Linked DNA regions of Stegostoma tigrinum. The protein of the gene in region 3 purifies or fractionates together with the protein of the main gene of each other region. This does not show direct contact. Links are inferred from orthologs where the notes say so. Each region holds a gene or a part of one and is shown on either strand. Other genes may lie near its edges.

Region 1 (7,872 bases), on a different chromosome or scaffold from region 3:
GGGACAGACAGATTTTCAAAAATTACCTCACAAAACAGTTCACAGAATAGTTTTATGCTGTAGCATAGATGTGGAAAGCAGCAAAATGTCTAACAGCAAGGAAGCAGTGTAAGTGGAGGTGTTGCTTCTGTTAACCATGAATTATTTGCTCATGGAGCAGACCGGGTTGACTGAGGTCCCTGTGCCACGAGTGCTGGATCTACCCTCTGTCAAGGGCCACGTGTCTGCTGATAATGCAATGGCATTCCCATGTTAAAAGATGTCCTACACAGGGCATCTATCTAGGACACACAGACAAACCTCCGCGATCGGTGAGACACGATGGGGACAGGACTGAGAAATCTTGAAGTTCCCAGCTTCAGACGGCACAGTCCGACATATGGGCCAGGAATAGAAGGGCATTTTGGCAGTTTTCTTCACAAGTGAGCAGCTCTGTTCGCATTTATTTTGCTCACCCTGCGTAGAGGGGGGGCTAGATAAAGTGCCTGAAACATAGTTTGCTTCATCATCAACCCGGCTGGAAAACGACATCCAGTGGGTTCATCTACCTGCAGCCTGAAGAACCAAAGTCAACTTCAATCTTGGAATCTGGAATGTATGAACGGCACTTCAACATTGATATTGCTGCCCTGCAGGAAATTCAAAAAGCAGGTGAAGGGCAGCTGACAGAAAAGGTTACAGCTTCTTCTGGAAAGGAAACCCAAGGATCAATGCAGGACACATGGAATTGGATTCACAATCAAGTACGACTTGTCAATCAACTCTAAGAGCTCACCGTTGGCATCAATCACCTCATGACTGTCTCCAACTTGCCAAGAACTAGCAAGCAACTGAGTGTCTCTACTCCAAACCTTGATGCCATAGAGGAATCTAAAGGCAGGTTCTACTCTACCCTGAACACCATACTCAGCAACATCTAAAAGGAATATTAAGTTACTTTGCTTGGAGACTTCAATACCAGAATTGTAAAAAGGACCCTGAGCTCTGGAAAGAGACCACTCAAAAAGGAAGAAGTCGAGGAGTGCCATTCCAGGGGGACTCTCCGACTCATTAAAAATGCAGAACACCAGCTGTTATTCATCAATGCACTGTTCCTCCAAAAAGACAATTTCGAAGCCTCTTGAAGGATACGCAATTAAAGTGCTGGCTTACGATCGACTATGGTCTTGGGACTGAATGATGACAACGGGACATCGTCATTACCAAGCTGATGATTGGTCCTTCAAGCAGCCATCTGCACCACCGGCTTATACATTCCTCCACATCCATCATAAGCCACCAGAAAACAGCTGAAGACAAAGAAACAGTTTATTAAAATATTTAACATTGTAAGCCTTCAACAGCCAAACAGACTAGCAAATTTCCAATAATGTCTTCAACAAAAATCACCAAAGAGCTCATTTCAATGGAATTGTGGAAATCTAGAAAGAGCTGAAGACAGCTATCACCTCATGTTGTGAAATAAACTATCGGCTGCAAGATCAGGAAACGTCAAGAATAGTTTGATGAGAGTAACCACATCATCCAAGATCTCATCATCAAGGGGTAAGCTCTCTATGCCTGGCAAAACATCACCAGCAAGGCAAAGAAGGGATCTCAAACAGCAAAAGACAGAATTACAAAGAACCACCAATGGAGGATTGAGAAAGCTAAGTAAATGCAACTCCTTGCTGACAAGCACAGCACCCAGGTTTCTTCAGTGCCACTACAACAATGTAATGACTGTACACCAAGGTGTCAAACTGCTACGAAGTACAGATGGAACACTTCTGAGACACAAAATACATAAGCCTCCGACAGACAGAATAGTTCAAAGAACATATAAACTTCGATACAATCAAGGAGGATGTGTTTGAGGAAATCCCACAAACTCCCCAAAGACGGTCCTGGACTCCCACCTAATGTGGAAGAAATTAAAGTGGTCATGAGACATATGAAGAATGGAAAAGCTGCAGTAGTAGATGGGATTCGAACAGAATTTTTTGACTTGGGAGGGGCAGAGCTTACCTGTCATCTCCATCAAAAATCTGGGACAAAGAAGAAACCCCTGCCAATCGTAGCGATGCTGCCATCACTACTGTGTTCAAGAACAGAGGCAAAGTGAGTCCATTGTGGAAACTACCAAAGATTGCTTGCTGTATAGAAGTAGCCTCATTAGAACACTGGTGGCAAAGCAGAAATCACAGCTGCATGATCTAATGCAGAGCACTGCCTCCCTGCAATGTTCATTCTGATGGAACAAAATTTTACTCCAAAACAAAACCACTAAGTAGCACACATTTTTGAGCATCATGCTTATAGATGCACGTTCCGCAATAAAACCAGTAATGCAATGCAGTTAGATTGCACTTGACTTTACAAATTGAATTCATCCTCCAAAAATAAACCCAGGCTTTCAATATTGCTCTAAACACTTCAGCTGAGCACTGGAGGAAAGTGCAAACGGCGACAATAAACGTGGATCTTATGAAATCAAGTACGAACGTCTTGCCTGAATCCTAGGCCCCGCTGCAGCAACTCATTGGGCCAGCCGTGGCACGATGGACTGAATGGCCGCCTCCCGCACCAGGACAGTTCTGAGGCGTCCGGTGAGGACCGGCAGCACTCACGGTAAACCTGAAGAATGTACCAGACCACCGATTAGACACCGATGTAAACACACCGTAAAGGAGCTTATTGGAAAAGCTATCTGCGTGTTCCCACCCCTCACTCTCTTCATTCCTGATTCACTCACTTATTGCCTCCGTTTTAACCAGCAACTTCTCCACCTTTTCCCTTCTCCAGGTTTTCTGGAGAATTCTAGGCCGCCCTCTCCTGTATCCGCCCCCGTATTCTCACACTCACGACAGTGCTCGTCACCTCAGTCTCGCCGCACAGGAGAGGAACTCGGCCGTCACTGAGCGAGCGACTCCGCAGCTCGAGCCAGGATCAACTCCCGATTCAAACACAAACTTCGAAATGACGCGGGAATAAGCCCAACGGCAGGCTGCGCTGCCGGAAATGGGTGGGGGGGAAAAAAATCCCCGTGAGTGACATCGATCTCAACCATTGCGAAGAAGCAGTGGGCGCGGTTCCACCCATTTAGGGCGCCGCCCGTCCGTACGGAAAACGCCGCACGTCGACGTGGCCCCGCCCCAATGGCAGGGAGCTGTCAATCAATAAGGACCAGCACGTGACTGAAGTCACCGCCCGTCGGTAGGAAAGGCAACGCCCCGCTATAAGGCCCCGCCAATTAGTGTGGGGTGATCAGCCCATCGAGAGGCCCGCCCACATGCCCGGCTTATTTGGAATTGACCCCGCCTATCTGCTGGGTCCCCGCCCCAATATGGGAGGGCCCGCCTATCAGAGCTTGACAAATGGTCAACCCTCCTTCCAACATCAGATTATCTAACGTAGTCAAACATGTTCTGGAAACGTTATGCTAGTCCAAGGCCGATCGAATGTTACATAACGTTGTATAAACAAAATGATATCGAAAATGACTGGAATTTTTAAACAAATTAAAAATAAGGTGGTACGGGAGACAAACTAAATGACTGGAACAGCATGAGAGGTGTAAGAATCGCACGCCAATGGTCTGACCAAAGTAATAAGTAAATCAAAACTGAACAAACTAATCAAGGTAGAGCGATCATAATAAGTTATTAAGGTGATGGTGTCAAAACAGCACAGTAAGGAAGGTTTTTACAGATGCTGAGCTGTGTGATGGGGTCGCATGTGACACAACATGAACCCAAGATCACAGTTGACGTTGTCTTCATGGGTACAGACCTTGGCTATCAGTTTCAGCTTGGCTTATTTTTAATGTTTTGAAATTATCTCTCCACCCCATTTAATCAGGTTTTGGGTTATCCTTTCACTTGCTATTCAGCAGTTGGCACTTCACTCCTGTCACCCAACACTCATGGTCTCCTGCAGGACCTCTTACTCAAAACTTCACGCATACCAGTTGTATGATCTTTTGATCTCTCTGCCCTTGATGCATCTGCCTATAAATTCTGTGTTTGCGTGCTCTTCTCTCCCACTTCTGATGAAGTGGCTGAGCTTTGAAAGTTTGTGATTTCAAACAAACCTGTTGTACTGTAACCTAGTGTTGTGTGACTCTTGATTTTCTCCAACCCAGTCTAACACGAGCACTTGCACAACTTGGAGAAATTTGCAGTTCTGTAAAATCAAAGCTGAATCAGCACCACCTCCTGGCGAAAACTAGTTATAACATCATGCATCAACTCACAACTTGACATGGTTTTCTCTTTCCTCGTAATTAGTGTATTTCTATGGAAATGATTAATAATCCTCAACAACAAATGACTGTAGCAAAAACCATATTTTACTAAATAGAAAATCTTGGCAGATAGATAACTACATTCCTATTCAAATTTCAGTTTGTTTAAGCAAATGAATTCAAAGAAAAAAGGAAATTACTTCAATTTCTATAATATCTTTCACAACATCAGAAGTCACATGACAGCAGGTATAGGCCAACAGGTTTATTTGGAATCCCACATGTTTTTGGAGCTCGGCCTCTTCGTCAGGTGCAGTCTGATGACCCGATGTAGTGTGACTTCTGACGTTGCCCACCCCTCTCCAACACCAGCACCTCCACATCATGGGTTCCATCTTTCGCAACATCATCCCAATTCCATTTTACAGCCAACTGAGCACTTTTGAAGCATAGAAATGTAATGAACGTTGCACACAATTTGAACACAGCAATTTCCCGAAGCAAAATGATAACCTTTCCCATTATTACATGTTGGTTTAAGAGGTAACCGCTAGCCAGTATATAAAATCTGCTGTTTTTTGAAATAACAATGTGGAATATTTTAAGCTCGCTCATAATGATAGACAAGGACTAATTTTAACACCTTATCTGTAACACAGATCTCTAAAAGTGCACCAACCCTTCATTTCTGTTATGAAAGCTTAGCCAAGGGCTCTGACTAACTCTCTGGTACAGCCTATGATTCCACAGCCGAGTATGATAAGATTTGAACCATGGGAGACACAAATGTAAATGCGAATATTTGCTGACAGGTCCCTAACTCAACAGCTGATGAAGTAAAAGAAAACAAAATTAGAATGTGTTCCTTGTGCTTTGAAGCAACCTCATATTAATCTGAGATGGAAAGTTGTAATTAGGTAGCAGTGTAGATCAATAAAATCAATTATCATTGTGTTACAGTAAACAGTCCTGCAGAGTAGACTCTGACATGAGATGATGGTTTGTTTGGCAGCTGTAGGACAGTTGTTCATTGTGATGGCGGCATATTTAAAAGTGAGGACTGCTATGTAACTCATACATAAAGCGGAGTAAATTATGCAGTTATGTTAATCTGCTATCCAAAGCCCTTATTGGACCAGGATATTGGACATTACATGTTAGAAAAAATATGTTGGACTACATCCTTTCTCTCAGGAAAATTGAAGTGACCTGATGGATGTGAGGCAATGAGTGATATTACTACGAGATAATTAATCCAGAAACACAGCTAATGTACTGAAGAACAGGTTCAGATCCTACCACGGCAGACAGCAGAATTTGAATGTTATAAACAAAAACCTGAAACTTTAAGAATCTTTTGATGTCTATGAACCCACTGCCAATTGTTGAAAAATAACCCGTCTGGCTCAGTAATCACATTCAGGGAAGGAATTCTGTCATTCTCACCTGGTCTGGCCTACTTGTGACTCCAGAACTGTGGAAATGTGGTTGACTCTCAACTGCCCTCTGAAATGGCCTAACAAGCCACTCGGTTGTAACAATTGTTATGAATTCTCAACCATGAAGTAAAAAGGGACGGGCCATCTGGCACTGGCCCAGGCACCGATAACAGCAAAACCAAGCCTTAGTGCCACTGCAAAGTTCCAATGACTAACAGCTGGGACAAGTACCAAAAGTGGGAGAGCTGTCTCACAAACTAGTCAAGCAACAGCCTGACATAGTCATATGTGGTAAATGTCCCAGGCAATATCATCACATATGTCCTGTTTCACCAGCAGGACAGACCCAACAGAGGTGGTGGCGCAGTGGTATACAGTTGGGATAGAGTTGACCTCGGAGCCCTCAACATTGACTCTGGATATCATGAAGTCTTAGGGCAGCAGGTAAAACATGGGCAAGGAAACTTGCAGCTAGTTACCACATACTGCCCTCCGTCACTAAGGATTCAGCAGCAACACTACTGATTGAGCTGGTCACATCCAAAATAATGTAACTGCTAGAATGAGTCTGCCACAGGTGGTGAGGGAAAAGATACATGACGTCATTCTTTCCGATCGATTGGCTGCAAATGCATCTGTCCATGACAGTATTGGTAAGACTGACCACCACATAGTCCTATGAGGTCCTGCTTACCCTCTATCATGTTGTGTGGCATTATCACTGTTATAAGTGGGACCAGTCTGGCAACTTAAGACTGGGCACCTTTGAGAATATGTGGGCCATCAACAGCAAAATAATTGTATTCCAGCATAATCTGCAATCTTATGGCTTGGCATATGCCCCACTCAATCATTAGCATTCAGCCAGGGTATCAACCCTGGCTCAATGGAGAGTGTAGGAAGCCATGACAAGAGCAACACCAGGCATACCTAAAAATGAGGTGTCAACCTGGTGAACCTACCAAACAGGATTATATGCAGGCCGGACTATATTAGCAGCAAATGAGGTAAGCCGTCCCACAACAGATGGACCAGATCTAAGCTCGGCAGTCCACCAATGATGATGGTGAATTAAAAACTGACTGGAGGAGGAGACTCCACAAATATTCCCATCCTTAATGATGGAAGACACCAGTTCATCAGTGCAAGAGATAAGGCTAAAACAATTGCAGCAATCTTCAGCCAGCAGTGCTGAGTGGATGATCCATCTCAGCCTCCTCTTGGGGTCCACATCAGCGCAGATACTAGTCTTCAGCCAATTCACTTCACTCCACATAATATCAAGAAACAGTTGGAGGCACTGGATACTGCAAAGGCTTCAGGCCTTGATAACGTTCCGGCTATAATACTTGTGCTCTAAAATTAACACTTCCCTACTTAGCTCTTCAAGTACAGCTACAACATTGGCACCGACCTGAAAATGTAGAAAAGTGTGCAGATGTGTATGGTACACAAAAAGCAGATCAAATTCAACCAGCCAATTACCATCCCATTAACCTACTTTTGATCATCAGTAAAGCAACGGAAAGTATCACTCATAGTACCATCAAGCAGCATCTGCTCAGTGACACACTGTTTGAGTTCCACCAGGGCCACTCAGTTCCTGCCCTCATTACAAGATTGGTTCAAACATGGACAAAAGAGCTGAATTCCAGAGGTGAACGGAGAGTGACAGCCCTTGACATCAAGGCTGCATTTGGTGGAGTGTGGTATCAAGGAGCTGTAGCAAAGCTTAAATCAATCGGCAAATTTTCCACTGTTTGCAGTCAGACCTGACGCTTGGGAAGACAGCTGTTGTTGTTGGAAGGTCAGGCATCTCAGCTACAGGGATCCTAAATAGACGCTTCCTGACTTTATGAATATCACTTGAACAGGGTAAGTTGCTGTTGGACTTAAACCCGGTGTCAATGCTGGAATCGTGTCATAAGAAAACAGAAGTAGGTCATTCAGCCTGTCGAACTTGCCCCACCATTCAATGTGATGATTGCTGATCAAACTATTCAATACCTTTTATTGACTCCATGCTCACATGAATGATGCCAGCATTTGACCCAAGTCCCTCTAAACATTTCTTCGTCAAGTACTTGTTCAAAAGACTTTCAAATGTTGTAATTGTACTCGCCTCTATTACTTCCTCTAGCAGTTTGTTCCATATATGCACCACCCTCTGTTTGCAAAAGTTGCCCCTCAGGTCTCTTTTAAATCTTC
Region 2 (7,949 bases), on a different chromosome or scaffold from region 3:
TAGTTAGTTCCTTCACACTGCAGGGACAAACACGCTGGATTTCCATCCCAACAGTATTGTGGGTCAACTGACAGTACAAGGACTGCAACTATTCAAGAAGGCAGCTTACCACCACCTTCTCAAGGGAAACTGGGGACAGGCAATAAGTGTTAGCCGGACAACAAGCTAATAATGCAGCCAAATAGCACTCTGCCACATTGCATCAAACCCTCATGAATAAATCGATACTTGAGTTGAATACTGAGACAATTTGAAAGCCAATGCTTTTAAGGAGAACATTTCTGAAAAGGCAAAGGAGAAAACCCAAAAACAATATTGCTTTTAACTTTTCATTTTAGTTCACTTCCAAAACTTAAGTGAACTAATAATTATCATGGCTCAGAACCATCAACACTCACCAAACGTTGCTGTTCTTATCCCACATTGTTTGTGTGAATATCAAAGAATATAGTTTCCTTTGGTTCCATACTAGGTATCACTCTGCAATCAAAATAAGCAGGCCACTAACCTATCCCCTTCACCGATCCTTCTTAGGCATTCATTCGAAATACAGCAAGACGTTCTTCCACTCCAATGTTGTGGTCCTGAAGTGACTAAACTGTTCACTGTCAGGTCTGCAAAATCTGTCACAAATGGGATGTTTAGCTTTTTGCCTCTTCAGTTGCCTGTGTTTAACCTCCACGTAGGACTGTCAGAGACACAGACTGATACCTGCACAGATGCTTCATCTACACAGGTTGGGCAGTCTTGAGCAAGCAATGCTCCATATGTCGATGGGAATATTGCAACTGATTTTTGTCCAGACATATCTGGAACATTAGCAGTCCAGTAATATTTTGGTCTATAAAACAACTGAATCAAAAAGCAATAAAGTGAACCATGCTACATGAGTGCTTGGCCTCCACAGTGCTGCTCTAATCTCTAGTGACTGCAGTTGGGAGCCTTTAAGTGTGCAGTTACATATCCAGTGTACAGCACTCTTAAATGCCTTGAACCACAAAAACATACTATTTTAAACTACTTTCTAGTAAACTGTTGCAACAAGTCATTTAAGTAAAATTAAACTGTGCACAATTAACATCCTACATTCTGAGAGTGTCACTGATCCCTCAAATTTTGGTAATCTTAATTACTGCAATCTCATTCAAATGTTGAGTAATTCATGTAATTGCAAAAGGAATTTTCAAATTTACAAAGATGCTCTGCACAAAACAGAATACCTGGCTCAACATTTGTCAAAATTGGTTAAAAAGTGAACACAACTCAAATATTAAATTTTTTGAAGTGTTCTGGGGAAATGGTTAAAAAACTTACTGCAAAATGTTCAATGGCATGCAATTTTATCAAAATATTACACCCCATCACTACCATGAGGCAAATTTGTAACACAAGGCACAGAAAGCAGGGCCACAGTTCCATACGCATGTCTGGAATGATTTATCAGTTTAAAAACAAACCAATATGAATTTTAAAACCATGCTTCAAAATCCAGAGTCAAAAACCATACAACCCATCTATTAAAAATGCTACTACCTACAAACAAGTCATTATGTCCCTGCTGAGAATCCATCAGTAAAGTATCACATTAGAAATTAGAACTCCTTAAAAATTTTATCTTTGAATTGAAATACTGGGTCAGTCTTAAGTCAACTACATTCTTGGCTTATAACATCCATTTTGTACAACAGCAAAACTCCAAAACTGGTAAAACTGCATACATCATACAAGTTTTATAATTTCAAGCTGAGAACACTATCAGCTAAAAACAGCATTCAGCATGGTAATTGTGGAATATATTGCCTGTTCCAACATTGAGCCTGCACACTCTCACTAAAGTGTAAGCACACAAATCCAAAAACGAGGATTCAAACACATGACTTTAAGCATTTATCTCTTCTCTCCAGCCACTACATCAACATAAGTGCAGCAGGGAGTTGTCTAGATTCACTTAGTTTTGAGGGCTTCTGGAATAGAGCAAAAAAGCAGAATGTGGCAGGTTGAGTGATGAACATTTGCAGTAGCTCTCTCCCAGACATCCACATACTTATAGCCATTGCTGTTTTCACAGAGAGACTATTATAGGGGAGGGGGACCGGTCGAAAACTTTTGGAGTGACAGAAGCACCAGTGCTATAGCATGAAAGAAGGCTGTAAATGGACAAACAAACCAACAAACTATAATTCTTTCCCTTGAGATACAGGCACCACTGGCAAGGCCAAACTTTACTGTGGATCCCTAATTGCTATTTCGCCAAGCGGATTGCTAGGCCATTTCTGAGGGTAGTTAAGAGTAAACCATATTATCTGTTCTGGAGAAGGATCATCAGTGCCAAAACATTAACTTTTTTTGTTTCTTCACAGATGTTGCCAGACCTATTGAACGTTTTCAGCATCTTCTGTTTTTGTTCCATATTGCTGTAGGTGCGGAGTATTACGTAAATCAAACCAGAGAAGGATGGCAAACCTATTTTCCTCATAAAACCAAGTGAATTTTTGAGAACATTGATTATGGTTGCCATGGACCCCATTGAGGTTAGCTTTAGATTCCAGGTTTGAATAACTGAACAGGTATTCCACCAGTCACTTGGATGGAATATAAAACCAAAGCCTCACAGCATCAGCCAGGCTTGCTGGATTACTAGCTCAGAGCGTCATTTTCACTATGCCTCCATAGTGTCTCCTCACCATCACCGAAGGACTAGGACTAGGCTGCAGCTGCAGCTGCAAAAAAGATGGACCGGACATTTGCTGCTGAATTAGACTGGAGTGGACGGTAGGCCCAATCCAACTTCCAGGCCTAACAGTATCCAAACTCCTCACCCACCCGCAGACCCAAAAAGAAAATACAAGCGTTTCCGGTTAGACACATCGCGATAAGCTCGGCAGGATCCCTTACGTCGTATCTAAAGAAGGGACGATGTGAAAATGAGCTGGCCAGCGAGTCACTAAGATTCAGCAACGACGGCAGACACACCACTCCGCCATCGCCAGTCCCACTTCTGCGCCTGCGCGGGCCGCGCACTGACATCACACCCTCCTAGCAACCAGTCTTCACTTCCGGCCCTCCTCTCCCTCCCATAGCAACGGGGAGACAATCTCCATCCTAGGGAGATCTGCTGAATGTCAGCAGCCCTGCTCTTCTTAACGAAAATCGGTTAGTAATCAAAATATTACCGAATGAACCTGCTCAGAGGTGTCTGCTTATTGTACACTTCTGGAGGAATTTGAACCAGGGTTTCCGAGCTTTGAGGCAGGGACATTACCACTGCACCACAAGAGTCCGTAGGGTCTAGCTAGCATCTCCCAATCACCAGACCACACCGATTGATCAGTCTGTAGATATCTTGTAATCATCTTGATTAGAGATGTTAGTGTACACCTCTGAAGCAGGTAGAACTTGAGTCCAGGTCTCCTGGCTCAGAAGTAGGGTTTCAACGACTGCGCCCCGAGACCCTTTGCTTAGTAATCAATTCTTAATTACTATTAATCATTCAAGACGCTCATTCTTCATTTGATGACTTCCAGCCCTTTAAGGGGTCTATAGCAACGCTGTGACTCAACGAAAGTTGCCCTACAGATACTTTAATTTTAAGTTCACATATGTATCTTCACAATTATGAAAGTCACAATGTTTAGTCAATTCAGGCTAGAGAATGTCTTTTTAATGTAGTAGAATGTTATGAGCAGTAAAAAAACTGATAAATTGTGTTTGGAAGTGTGTTTAAATGCTGAGTCAAGGAGATAAATTTTAAGCAGCATTGTAAAGAGGAGGGAGATGCAGTAAGTTTTGGGTTGAGAATTCCAGAACTTAAAACCCACGTTCCTGAAGAGGAAACAATATTGTCAACAATATAATAACTTAAAAATTGGGAATGCAAAAAAAAACCAACATTTGGGAAAGCGCAGTGATCTTGGAGGATTGTAAAGCAAGCATGATGTTAAAATTACAGACTTATTTGGAATGCATGTAGGATATATGGCAAGAAATATGGCAAGCTACTGACATTAACAGGCACCAACAAGGCTCCTTTCCAAAGAGTGAAGCAAAGCTTTTTAAACCATGACATCTCAAAACTATTTTAAAGAAGGGAAATTGATAACTTACTTGAGAAAAATGAATGTTGAAAGATAAGGGGAGTGATTTCAAGAGTGTGATTAGACTGTATGTCTCGCAGAGAGAAAACATTGGCATTGATTCGACAATTTCTGATATGATGTTGTGATAAAGATTTTTTCAGTTGGATCTTCTCTAACAGTGAGTCAATAATGCTAGAGAGGGCATCATTAAAACCTCCAAGATTACAAAAAAATGACTCAAATATGTAGTAAATAAAGAAGGAAAGACATTTACATCATGCTTTCCATGACCGCCAGACATCTCAAAGCATATCTCACACTGTGAAATACTTCTGAAGTGTGGTTCCTGTTTTGATGTAAGAAATAAGACAGCCAGTTTGCACACAGCAAGATCTCACAAACAGCAAGGTGACAAAGGCCAGATAGCCCTGTTAACATGATGTTGATTGAAGGATAAATATCAGCCAGCATGTCAAGAACAAACCTCTTGTTCCTCCATAGAATAATTCAATGGATTAGTTTACATTCACCCAAACAGATAGGCCTGTCCTCAGTTTACCTGAAAAACAAACCCTCAATCAGCACAATTTAACCTAGAACTGCAGTGGACTAAGGGGCATGAGTTTTGTATGTCAACCCTGGAGTGAGACTTGAACCAGATCCTTGTGGTACCATCTAATGAAATTAGAATTGAGTCGCTTGAGTTGTGGTTAAAAACAGAAACAGCTGGAAATGCTCAACTGATCTTGTAGTATCTGTTGTGAGAGAAACAGATTTTGTTTTGATTCAGATGTGATTCTTTTGTTGAGCTGAAGGAAGCTGGAAATGTTATGGGCTAAGTGCCACTGAAATGTCAGATGGAGAGGATGAGCAAAAGCAAAGGAGAATTTAAATAACAAAGATGTTATGAAACAAAGCCAAAGAGCAAATTAATGGATATGGTGAAGAACCAAAGCATTAATCCAGCCTGAATGGAAGAATAATAAGCAGCTCTGACCAAGAGCAAAAGCGCAGAAACAATAACAGCACATGGCAAAAAAAATGAAAATCAGGATGGAGGGACAGTGCTCATGGTCTGAAATTGTTGAACTCAATATCCAGTTCAAAAGCCTGTAAAAAGTGCCAAATCAGAAGATGAGATGTTTCTCGAGCTCCACTGGCAAAAGACTGATATATTAACAAGATCAAATAAGTTTTCAAGAAAGCAGAAGCTTGTGGGCTGAGGCAGAGGCATTCCACAAAATGGTCACTCATTCTGCATTTGGCTCCTTGGTGTTAAACGTACCACAATACAGGTAGTAAATATAACATACTAAATTAAAAGTAGTACAGGTAAATTGTTGCAGCACCTTGAAAGAGCTTGGACAATGATTGCAGGTGGCGGGGTGGGACTGTGGGTAAGGGGAAGGTGTTACACCTCTTGTGACTGTTTGAGTATTTGCCACGGGAGAGATAATGGCTATGATGTGAAGATCAGTGTGTTTCAACAAAAAAATGTCCCTTTGAAGTACGCAGGAGAGGGAGCATACAGTGGTGTTACTGTAGTAGAAGTGACAAAAATTTTGAGGGTCAAATTTACAGGTTTCAATACCACATGTGACTGAAGTTAAATTTGGATGAGGCTTTAAAAGCAAGACATTATAACAAAGGAATTTCAGGTTGATGAAATTGATCCAATTGACTTGTCTGTTTCTGTGCTGTAAGTCCTATATAATTCGATGTAAGGACTCTTAAGAGAGTGGAGGAACGCAGGAGATCCAAGTTGAATAGAGATTAGCCTATTTAGGAAAGGATTCTGGCTGCAAAATGCAATAAAAGGCCATTTTCATTCTGGGTTTGTATGCAGAGGAGCATAAAATGTAAGAAGAAAGTGATACTAAATTAGTGCAAGGCGATAATTAGCTTGCAGCTGGAGTATTGTGATTGGAAGAACATCAGAATCACAAATGGCTACAGAATGATGAGAAACAAGAAATTATAATTACAGAGCAAGCTTTGAAACAGTGGATTTTTCCCCCAAAAGAGTGAAGATTAACTGCAATGTAATGGGTTTTCATAAGTATAAATAGTCTTGATGTGGCAAGTAGTGAAATATTGTTTCAACTGGATCATGAATTAATAACAAGGGAGTACATACTCAACCCTGCCATTGCGAGAACAAAATTAAAAGTTAAAAGAAACATTTTCACAGTCATTAGACCATGGAATACTTTGCAAGACGGGGTTATTGAGGTACTGTTGATAATATAAAAGGAACTTGGCTAAATATTTGAAAAGAGAAGATTACAGAAGGTCCAGTGGAAATGGTAAGAACATTGTGTTTTGACTTGATGGTTCCAGTATGACAGAAACATAAATGCTAATGTTAAAGATGCACTATAATTTCTATATGAGTCATGAACATCAAATCACTTTGAAGCATATTACTGTAATAATTATCTTGTGCTAAGCGAAGGTAAATAGGATTGGTGATAAATAACCAGATAATCAGTACCACTAGTGGTAGAAGTTAATGAAAGTATGTTATCCAGGAGACCTCCTTTTTAAAAGAAACACCATGGAATCACAGTGGATTATGCAGAACAGGGATCTGTTTAACATTTTGTCTGAAGGATGGCACCTCTAACAGTGTAGCGCAGCCTTAGCTCTGTTTTAGGTTTTTAGCCTGGATGAGGAGTTCAAAGCCACAACTTCAGAATTAGGGTCATTGGGATATAAAGCACGGAAACAGACCCTTCAGTTCAACTCGTCCATGCCAACCAGTTTTCCTAAATTAACCTAGTCCCATTTGCCAGCATTTGGCCCATGTCCCTCTAAACTCTTCCAATACACATACCCATCCAAAAGCCTTTTCAGCCTCCACCAATTCCTCTGACAGCTCGTTCCATACACAAACCACCCTCTATGTGAAAACGTTGCTCTTCAGGTCCTTTGTAATGCTTTCCCCTCTCATCTTAAACTTATGCCCTCTAGTTTTGGACTCTCCTACATTGAGAAAAAGATCTGACTATTCTCCCTATCCATGCCCCTCATGATTTTATAAACTTCTATAAGGTCACCCCTCAGCCTCCGATGCTCCATGGAAAATAGCCCCAGCCTATTCAGCCTCTCCCTTTAGTTCAAACGTCCAAGCCTGGCAACATCCTTGTAATTCTTATCTGAACCCTTTCAAGTTTCGCAGCTCTTTCCCATAAATAGGAGACCTGAATCAAATGCTGTATTCCAAAAGTGGCCTAACTAATGTCCTGTGCAGCCGCAACCTGACCTCCCGACTCCTTTACGCAATGCAGTGACCAATAAAGGCAAGCATACCAAATGCCTTCTTCACTACACTGTCTACCTGCGACTGCACTTTCAAGGAACTATGAACCTGCACGCTAAGGTCACTTTATAAACACTATTTTTAATATTTCAACTAAGCTGAGACTTATAATTTATTACATCAAACATTAACAATTTAATGTCAAGTATAACTAATTTGTTAACAAAGTAATGTCAATATAACTAATTTGTCAGACAATCGATTGTTCCATGTCTTCTGATAGTTACATTTCTATCCGTTGCTGAAACTCTTACCCATTCTCTTGTTTTCTCCAAACTGAGTGCGTCAATACCATCCTAGCAGGTCACCCATAAAGATAAGAATATCCAAAGCTCTGTTGCTCCTTTCATAACCCATTCTGTCTTCTATTCATCTACCATACTTTTGCATGCTGGCTTGGACTGTCTCCCATTCGCCAACATTGATTTTCCTGTTTAAATCCCAGGCCTTCCTATCTCTATAACTTTCTAGCTCTACAGACCAGTAATATGGTTCATCACCATGTTTCTTCAACTTCGGGCTGTTCTGAATCAGCCGATTCCTACCAACCC
Region 3 (7,843 bases):
TTGCCCTGACAGGTTTAGTCAGACACAATGCTAAATACTTCCCTTCAGAATTTTCAAGATGTGCAACATCTAAAAGCATGAAGACAACAAGTTTCTGGTGTCACTAAATACGTAATAGAACCTAGTAACAATGTTATACAACAGAACAGAGTCTTAAAGTACTAAGCACATCAAAGTATGACCATGAAAGTTCAGATTGTGCCCGCACAAGTTGAACTGAACATGGTCAAGAATTTTGGGAAGTGTTTTATTTCAAGGAAAATGTAATTTAGAAACAAGTATACAGGAAGCATAATTAATGGAGCATTTGAGTGATATGGTGACAGAGTTAAACAATTATGTGTATTTGCAAAACAGTTATATTAGCTTGGTTGCAACAAACAACAGGGAGTGAGCAAGATATACAACGCAAGCGATTTTAGACAGTGAGTAAAGTCATAAAAGTCGACCAAAATGGATTTAAAAATCAATTTCTAGAGTTTTTAAATCCAGTAAGAGAAACAAATCAAGAGGACCACAGTGAAACTATCAGATGTTTTCAAACTTCTGCTACCAATGACAGAGCAGAGGGGCAAGGATATACAGTTAGAGACAAAATGAGAGCAAAATTCAACCACAATTACAAAATAAAGGGTCATATGAGGGATGAACATTGTCTTGGACTATCGGACAACTCACCTGCTCTTCCCAGAATAGCGCAAAGAGATGGTTTATACCCACCCAAGAGTTCAGACTGTTTATGACTCATCCAGAAGATGGTACCCCTGAAGCAAACACAGCATTCTCCCAGAGCACAAGACACATCAAAATAGACTTAATGCTCAAATCTGTTTTGAAGATTTGAATACACAGCTTTTTGACTGAAATGCTACCAGATCTAAGGCACAGATAAACAGCTCGCAAGACTACTAGAGAAAAAATTTGTACAATGAAAATATTTTCTTTTCTTTCCTCTACATGAAAATAGGTTACAGTGGGAAGTGTTGCCTCTTTCCAGTCATTCACTGAATGGGTACCAATGACAATACCAGGTGCACTTATTCGTTCATACCTAACTGTTTTGGTTGAAAACCTTGTTTGTTCTTTTAAGACGGGAATTGAAAAGTGAACCACATTTTCGTTGGTCTGGAGTCACTTATAGGTTAGACAGAATAAAGGCAATTTCCTCCCATGTAAAACATTCATAATCAATTTTTTCCCCCCAAGACACTCCAGAAGTTACATGAACTCCATTACTGAAACTACTGATTTATTCATTCACTAAATTTGAACTCAGTACTCAAGATCACTAGCTCAGAAGTCTGGATTACTAACCTAGCAGCATAATTACTACCTTACTGTTTCCTATTCAATCTTATCACCCTTCCCTTCCGAAACTTGGCATCAATTTCATTCAGATTTCTAGGATCACAGCTCCTTCTCTTCACTCAATATAAAAATTTGATACAGAAATTTGTCTTCACAGCTTCAGTCCTTTTTCTTGGGCACTGCATGTTTACACCACAAAAGCTGCCTGTAATTTGGTATAAGCTAGCAGCTATTCAGCGATGAATAAGTAACATTAAAAGTGCTAAATTAAAGGTGTATTTTGTGGGAATAATAGTTTAATCTACATTGGACTGTGCCTTGGGATGTGTTGCATCGACAGTGGGTAACAAAACTGGAAAAACATTCTACTCCCCAGTGTAGATTTTCTCATGCTTAGCTGAATGACAGCTGTCAGTGCAGAAGGGTGGCCTGGAGCAATGCCCTCTTTCTTCCCTTCGTTTCTGTTTGCAACAGTAAAGTGAGCCTGCCAGTTAAAGGTAAATAGACATGATATTGTGTTAGTGCTCTTTAAAAATTGCTCAGGGAATATATGCACACTTAATTCTAAACTGCTTTAGCATGGAAGTCCTGCAACAGCAAAATACTTGGATGAACTGAGTGGAACTAATTCCCACAATAGAACAGCTGGTCCAGCAAGAAAGAGCTGTGCTTAAAGTGAAAATTCTTAAATGCATTCAGGATTTATAACCTGCTAAAAGATGGCCTCCTCTTCTGCTCCAAGTCGAACAAACTCAGACCCACATTGATAAAATTCTTAAAATGATTGACCAAGACCAACACTTAATAGATAGTAAAAATGTCTTGTCAAAGTAAAGTTTTTTTAAAATAACAGATTGGAAGTGTAATTACATTCTTAAAAAAATTAAAGGAACTAGCAAAAAATGGGGCAAGCAAAAAACAGAATGTTTTGGCAATCACCCTACCGTCAGAAAACTGTTGTGCGTGGAACATAAAGTTCACACAAAACTGCAGTGTCATTTACATTAAAATGTTATAAGCGTGCGTGCTGCGGACCGCTGGCGAGCAATCAAATCTCAACATAAACACAGTTAGATCAGAGACCTTAATATTTCGAAATATCCGCTCCAAGGTTGAAAGTAACCTTTTAAACAGCCTCCTTCGGGAATAAGAGTCTTCGTGGCTGGACAATGTTCTAATCTACCGGTTTTTGAGGCCACGCTGTTGCACCGACATGGGCATGGGGTGCTGTGCGCGCGGCGGGTCGGCACTGGGCCCGGGGTTTCCCGGGTCGGTTCACTAGCGGAATCCCGAGGCCTATACCCATCACATGGCAAACCGGCCACCTCCCTACCCCCAGCTCTGCCCTGGATTTGACCCTCACGGCCCGGCTCACCCTGGGCCGTATTTTATCCCAAAGGCTTGCTTCAGATCCCCCAACTAAGGGGACAGTAGGTTAGTGGGGAACGACGGGGATGGGGCTTACCCACGGCCTTCACCCTGACCCTGAGGCGTTAAATCACCGCTGCGACGACTACCCCCACCCCCAAAAACCCGACAGTTGCCCCTACCACGAATCCCCTTTCTTGAGCGAGGTATTCAACAAGTTCCCGATCTCGTTCTTCTGGCTCTCTAGGTCCGGGACGCCGCCTTCCGCCATTACTCTCACCGACACCCAGAAAGTGAAGGAGCGCGAGCGAACCGAGTCTTGAGGGAGGCGGGGAGGTGGCTGGGTTGGTGGGGAGGGAAGGACCCCGCACGACGCGCGTGCGCGTCACCAGCACAACCGACCGGCCTCCCCGAACTGCGCAGCCGTGCTTCCGCCACCACCTCTTCACCGTGGGGGAGGGGACGACGGTGCTCCACCCCCTGCGTCATTGCGTCATTCGAGACGGCGGCTGTTGTGAGGCAGCTGTATGAAATAGACGGTTGCTGAGCAACCGACGGCCCCGAGCCCCCCTCCTCCCCCACCCACAATGCCCCAAAAGCGACGTAGTAACACCGGTCTCCTAAGTCATGAAAAAAAATCAAAAATAAATCATTTATCTTTTTTTCTGTCTTGGAATGGCCTGAGCTCGAATTTGCATTCCCGGAATAAGAGGAGCGGAGATGACCAGGAAGGTAGGCTTGAGTCATCCAGCTAGAATTTCAACTCAGTCGTGACAGGTTCTAGATGGTTCCCGAGGCTTGGCCTTAATCCACACTCCTGCCAACCCCTACCAGTAACTGCTATCCTAAACTTGTCCTCAACTTGTCAAACTAGAAAAACCATCATTCATGTGATAAAACAAAGAAAATAGGAATGGCAGATGGAGTGTAACGCAGATAAACGTGAGACAAACCAGCGCAGGACTTGCACAGTTATTGGTAGAGCCTTGTCGATGCTGTCGACCAAAGAGACTTGAGGGTGTTGGTAGATAGTACCTTGAAAGTGGCATCACAGCTCGACAGGGCGATGACGAAAGTATTTGGCACAGAGATAATGGGAACTGCAGATGCTGGAGAATCCGACATAACAAAGTGTGGAGCTGGATGAACACAGCAGGCCAAGCAGCATCTTAGGAAGACAAACGATGACCTTTTCTGATGAAGGGTCTAGGCCCGAAACATCAGCTTTTGTGCTCCTCAGATGCTACTTGGCCTGCTGTGTTCATCCAGCTCCACACTTTGTTATCAAAGTATTTGGCACTTTTGTTTTCATTGATCAGATTATTGTGTACGAGTTGACACATTGTTACAACTATGCAAAACAATGGTAATGCTATATTTGTACAGAGTTGTGTACAAATCTGGTTGCTCTGCTACAGGAAGGATGTTATTAAACTGGAGAGGGTATAAAAAAGATTTGCAAGGATGTTACAGAGAGTGGAAAATTTGAGCTATAACGAGAGGTTGGATAGGCTGAGGGTGACCTTACAGAGATTTATAAAATCATCAGGTGAATAGCCAAGACCTTTTCCCTACGGTAGGGGAGTCCAAAACTAGAGGGCTTAGGTTTCAGGTGAGAGGGGAAAGATTTAAATGGAACTGGAGAGGCAACCTTTTCACAGAATTTATGGAGTGGTGGAGGCATGCACAATTACAATATTTACAAGACATTTGGTCAGGTAAATGGATAGGAAAGGTTTAGATGAATATGGACAAACACAAGTGTGGACCTACTTCAGTTTCGGAAACCTGGCTATCGTGGACAGGTTGGATCAAAGAGTCATATGGCACAGAAACAAGCTCTAAGAACATAGAGCAGTACAGACCCTTTGGCACCGCTGTATTATCGTACTAAAATCAATCTACCCTGCATACCCTACATTTTACTATTCTCCATGGGACCATCCAAGAGTCACTTTAGTCTCTAAAAGTATTTGACTCCACTAATACTGCTGGCAGCCCATTGCACGTACCCACCACTCTCTGTGTGGATGCTAGAGATTTGAAGCAAAAACAGAAATTGCAGGTCTGGCAACATAGAACATAGAACAAGACAGCGCAGAACAGGCCCTTCGGCCCTCGATGTTGCGCCGACCTGTGAACTAATCTAAGGAAAACAAGTGTTCATGCTTCTTTAAAACTTCATGAGTTTGCTGCCCATCGCTTATTTCCCTCAAGATGAAGGTAGTGGTGAACTGTCTTATTAACCACTGAAGACTGCTAGGTAGACTCCATGATTTTGACCCAGCTGCAGTGAAGGGAATGGTTATGTAGTTCTAAGTCAGAATGGTATTGGAGGCTTAGGGCTTGCAAGTGGTGCTGCTGCCATGCTTCTGCTGCCCTATTTGTCCACTTTGGACCTCACAGGAAGCTGCTGTCAGAAGTGGCCTGGTGTGCAACTCGTAAATGTTACACTCTGCTGTCACTGTGCAATTGCAGGTGGAGAGATTGAATGTTTAAGATAGTGGATCAACAACTCCTTCTTCTGAAGTTTGACAGACAACTTGTCAAAGGGTATATACCCCTTCTAAACATATTTTTCCCTTTGTTGATAATTTAAATAGATCTTGCAGTTTTCAAGAGTTCCAGAAAAAAGACCCTTTTTAACACATGAACCTATTTTTTTGTTAACAAAAGTGTGGAGCTGGATGAACACAGCAGGCCAAGCAGCATCTCAGGAGCACAAAAGCTGACGTTTCAGGCCTAGACCCTTCATCAGAGAGGGGGATGGGGAGAGGGAACTGGAATAAATAGGGAGAGAGGGGGAGGCGGACCAAAGATGGAGAGAAAAGAAGATAGTTGGAGAGGAGAGTATAGGTGGGGAGGTAGGGAGGGGATAGGTCAGTCCAAGTAAAACGGACAGGTCAAGGAGGCGGGATGAGGCGGTAGGTAGGAAATGGAGGTGCGGCTTGAGGTGGGAGGAAGGGATGGGTGGGAGGAAGGGATGGGTGGGAGGAAGAACAGGTTAGGGAAGCGGAAACAGGCTATGCTGATTTTGGGATGCAGTGGGGGGAGGGGTCGAGCAGGGTTGGTTTTGTGATGCATTGCGGGGAGAAGAATTGGGCTGGTTTTGGGTGCAGTGAGGGGAAGGGGTTCCTCCGCCTCCGCCGCATCAGCTCCCAGGATGAAGCATTCCACTCCCGCACATCCCAGATGTCCACGTTCTTCCAGGACCGCAACTTTCCCTCCGCAGTGGTCGAGAACGCCCTTGACTGCGTCTCCCGCATTTCCCACAACACATTCTTCACACCGCGCCCCCGCCACAACCGCCCCCAGAGGATCCCCCTCGTTCTCTCATACCACCCCACCAACCTCCGGATACAACGCATCATCCTCCGACACTTCTGCCATCTACAATCCGACCCCACCTCCCAAGCCATTTTTCCATCCCCACCCTTGTCTGCCTTCCGGAGAGACCACTCTCTCCGTGACTCCCTTGTCCGCTCCACAGTCCCCTCCAACCCCACCACACCCGGCACCTTCCCCTGCAACTGCCGGAACTGCTACACTTGCCCCCACACCTCCATCCCTGGCCCCAAGATGACCTTCCATATCATGCAGATGTTCACCTGAACATCTGCCAACGTGGTATATTGTATCCATTGTAGCCGGTGTGGCTACCTCTACATTGGGGAAACCAAGTGGAGGCTTGGGGACCGCTTTGCAGAACACCTCCGCTCAGTTCACAACAAACAACTCCCCCTCCCATTCCTCAGACGACATGTCCATCATGGGCCACCTGAAGGTTGCAAGAACAGCAACTCATATTCTGCTTGGGAACCCTGCAGCCCAATGGTATCAATGTGGACTTCACCAGCTTCAAAATCTCCCCTTCCCCCACCGCATCCCAAAACCAGCCCAGTTCTTCCCCTCCCCCCACAGCATCACAAAGCTAACCCAGCTCGACCCCTCCCCCCACTGCATCCCAAAACCAGCCCAGCCTGTCTCCGCTTCCCTAACCTGTTCTTCCTCTCACCCATCCCTTCCTCCCACCTCAAGCCGCACCTCCATTTCCTACCTACCGCCTCATCCCGCCTCCTTGACCTGTCCGTCTTCCCTGGACTGACCTATCCCCTCCCTACCTCTTCACCTATACTCTCCTCTCTACCTATCTTCTTTTCTCTCCATCTTTGGTCTGCCTCCCCCTCTCTCCCTATTTATTCCAGTTCCCTCTCCCCCTCCCCCTTTTCTGATGAAGTGTCTAGGCCCGACATGTCAGCTTTTGTGCTCCTGAGATGCTGCTTGGCCTGCTGTGTTCATCCAGCTCCACACTTTGTTATCTTGGATTCTCCAGCATCTGCAGTTCCCATTATTACCTATCTTTTTGTGTCTGCTGCTGACATCAACTCCTGTGAAATTTTCAGCACATTGTAGTTTGTTTGTACCATTCTTTGTAATCTGTCACTATAATCATACTACTCTGTGAGTTAAAACAGTTTACAATTTATATTGACATAAAATAGCATCTGTGCACAAGGTGCCAGTGCTTCAGAAATATTTGGGAAGGTGGGGTGCCTGGAACAAGCAAATGCTTTGTTAAAAATACAGACTTTCAAGGAGCTTGAGTTTGCGGAAGGCAAATAATTTTAGAAAAGAGCTCCAAAGGGAGTAGCACAATACCTGCAAGATGAGCATGTAGGTCATAGGTCATATTGTTGACCTGATGCAAAGGAAGCTTGATCATGAGAAACTTCCAAGGACCTCTTGTGAATCCTGTTATGGCTGATGAACACATTGAGTGAGTCGCATATCTTATTTGGTTGCATCCATATGTAGTTTTACTGAACACAGACATGTGCTGCTGTGTAACTGTGAGCTATGTGTTATGTGAGCAACATAACTTCATGTTCTAACCAGGCCTCCTCTGTGGGCAGTACAGACATGTTATGACTCTCAGTTTTTCAACAGTCCTTTTTACCACTTCTGTTTGCTGGTAACAGGAAGTATTATCATTTTCAGTTTGCTGTTTGCAGCACTCATCTTTTTTTTTTCAACCTTCCTCTTCCCTGTAGTTATTGAGCCTAGCAAGTTAAATTTGGACCCCTCCATGTGCGAGATAGCGTAATTTAGATAAATGCTGTGTGAGAACCTCACAGACAAAGATGAAGACTATAATTAACTGCCCCAG

What was found. The genes of interacting proteins can lie anywhere in the genome.
Region 1: the proteins of usp4 (region 3) and DNA endonuclease RBBP8-like purify together in Homo sapiens (affinity purification with western blotting; 3 studies listed by BioGRID, with this or other methods). This does not show direct contact. The link is inferred for Stegostoma tigrinum from reciprocal best matches to the Homo sapiens genes USP4 and RBBP8.
Region 2: the proteins of usp4 (region 3) and edc3 purify together in Homo sapiens (co-immunoprecipitation; 3 studies listed by BioGRID and IntAct, with this or other methods). This does not show direct contact. The link is inferred for Stegostoma tigrinum from reciprocal best matches to the Homo sapiens genes USP4 and EDC3.

Annotation. Positions count from the first base shown.
Region 1 is NC_081358.1:19,880,563-19,888,434, forward strand, and holds the start of DNA endonuclease RBBP8-like, read right to left. Parts: upstream 3,008-7,872; 5' UTR 2,860-3,007; exon of another isoform or gene 2,735-2,859; intron 2,617-2,734; exon of another isoform or gene 2,485-2,616; intron 1,171-2,484; exon of another isoform or gene 1,153-1,170; intron 1-1,152. UniProt on the Homo sapiens protein: Endonuclease that cooperates with the MRE11-RAD50-NBN (MRN) complex in DNA-end resection, the first step of double-strand break (DSB) repair through the homologous recombination (HR) pathway.
Region 2 is NC_081389.1:17,321,623-17,329,571, forward strand, and holds the start of edc3 (enhancer of mRNA-decapping protein 3), read right to left. Parts: upstream 3,008-7,949; 5' UTR 2,896-3,007; intron 1-2,895. UniProt on the Homo sapiens protein: Binds single-stranded RNA. Involved in the process of mRNA degradation and in the positive regulation of mRNA decapping. May play a role in spermiogenesis and oogenesis.
Region 3 is NC_081364.1:12,075,148-12,082,990, reverse strand, and holds the start of usp4 (ubiquitin carboxyl-terminal hydrolase 4), read right to left. Parts: upstream 3,082-7,843; 5' UTR 2,948-3,081; coding exon 2,859-2,947; intron 1-2,858.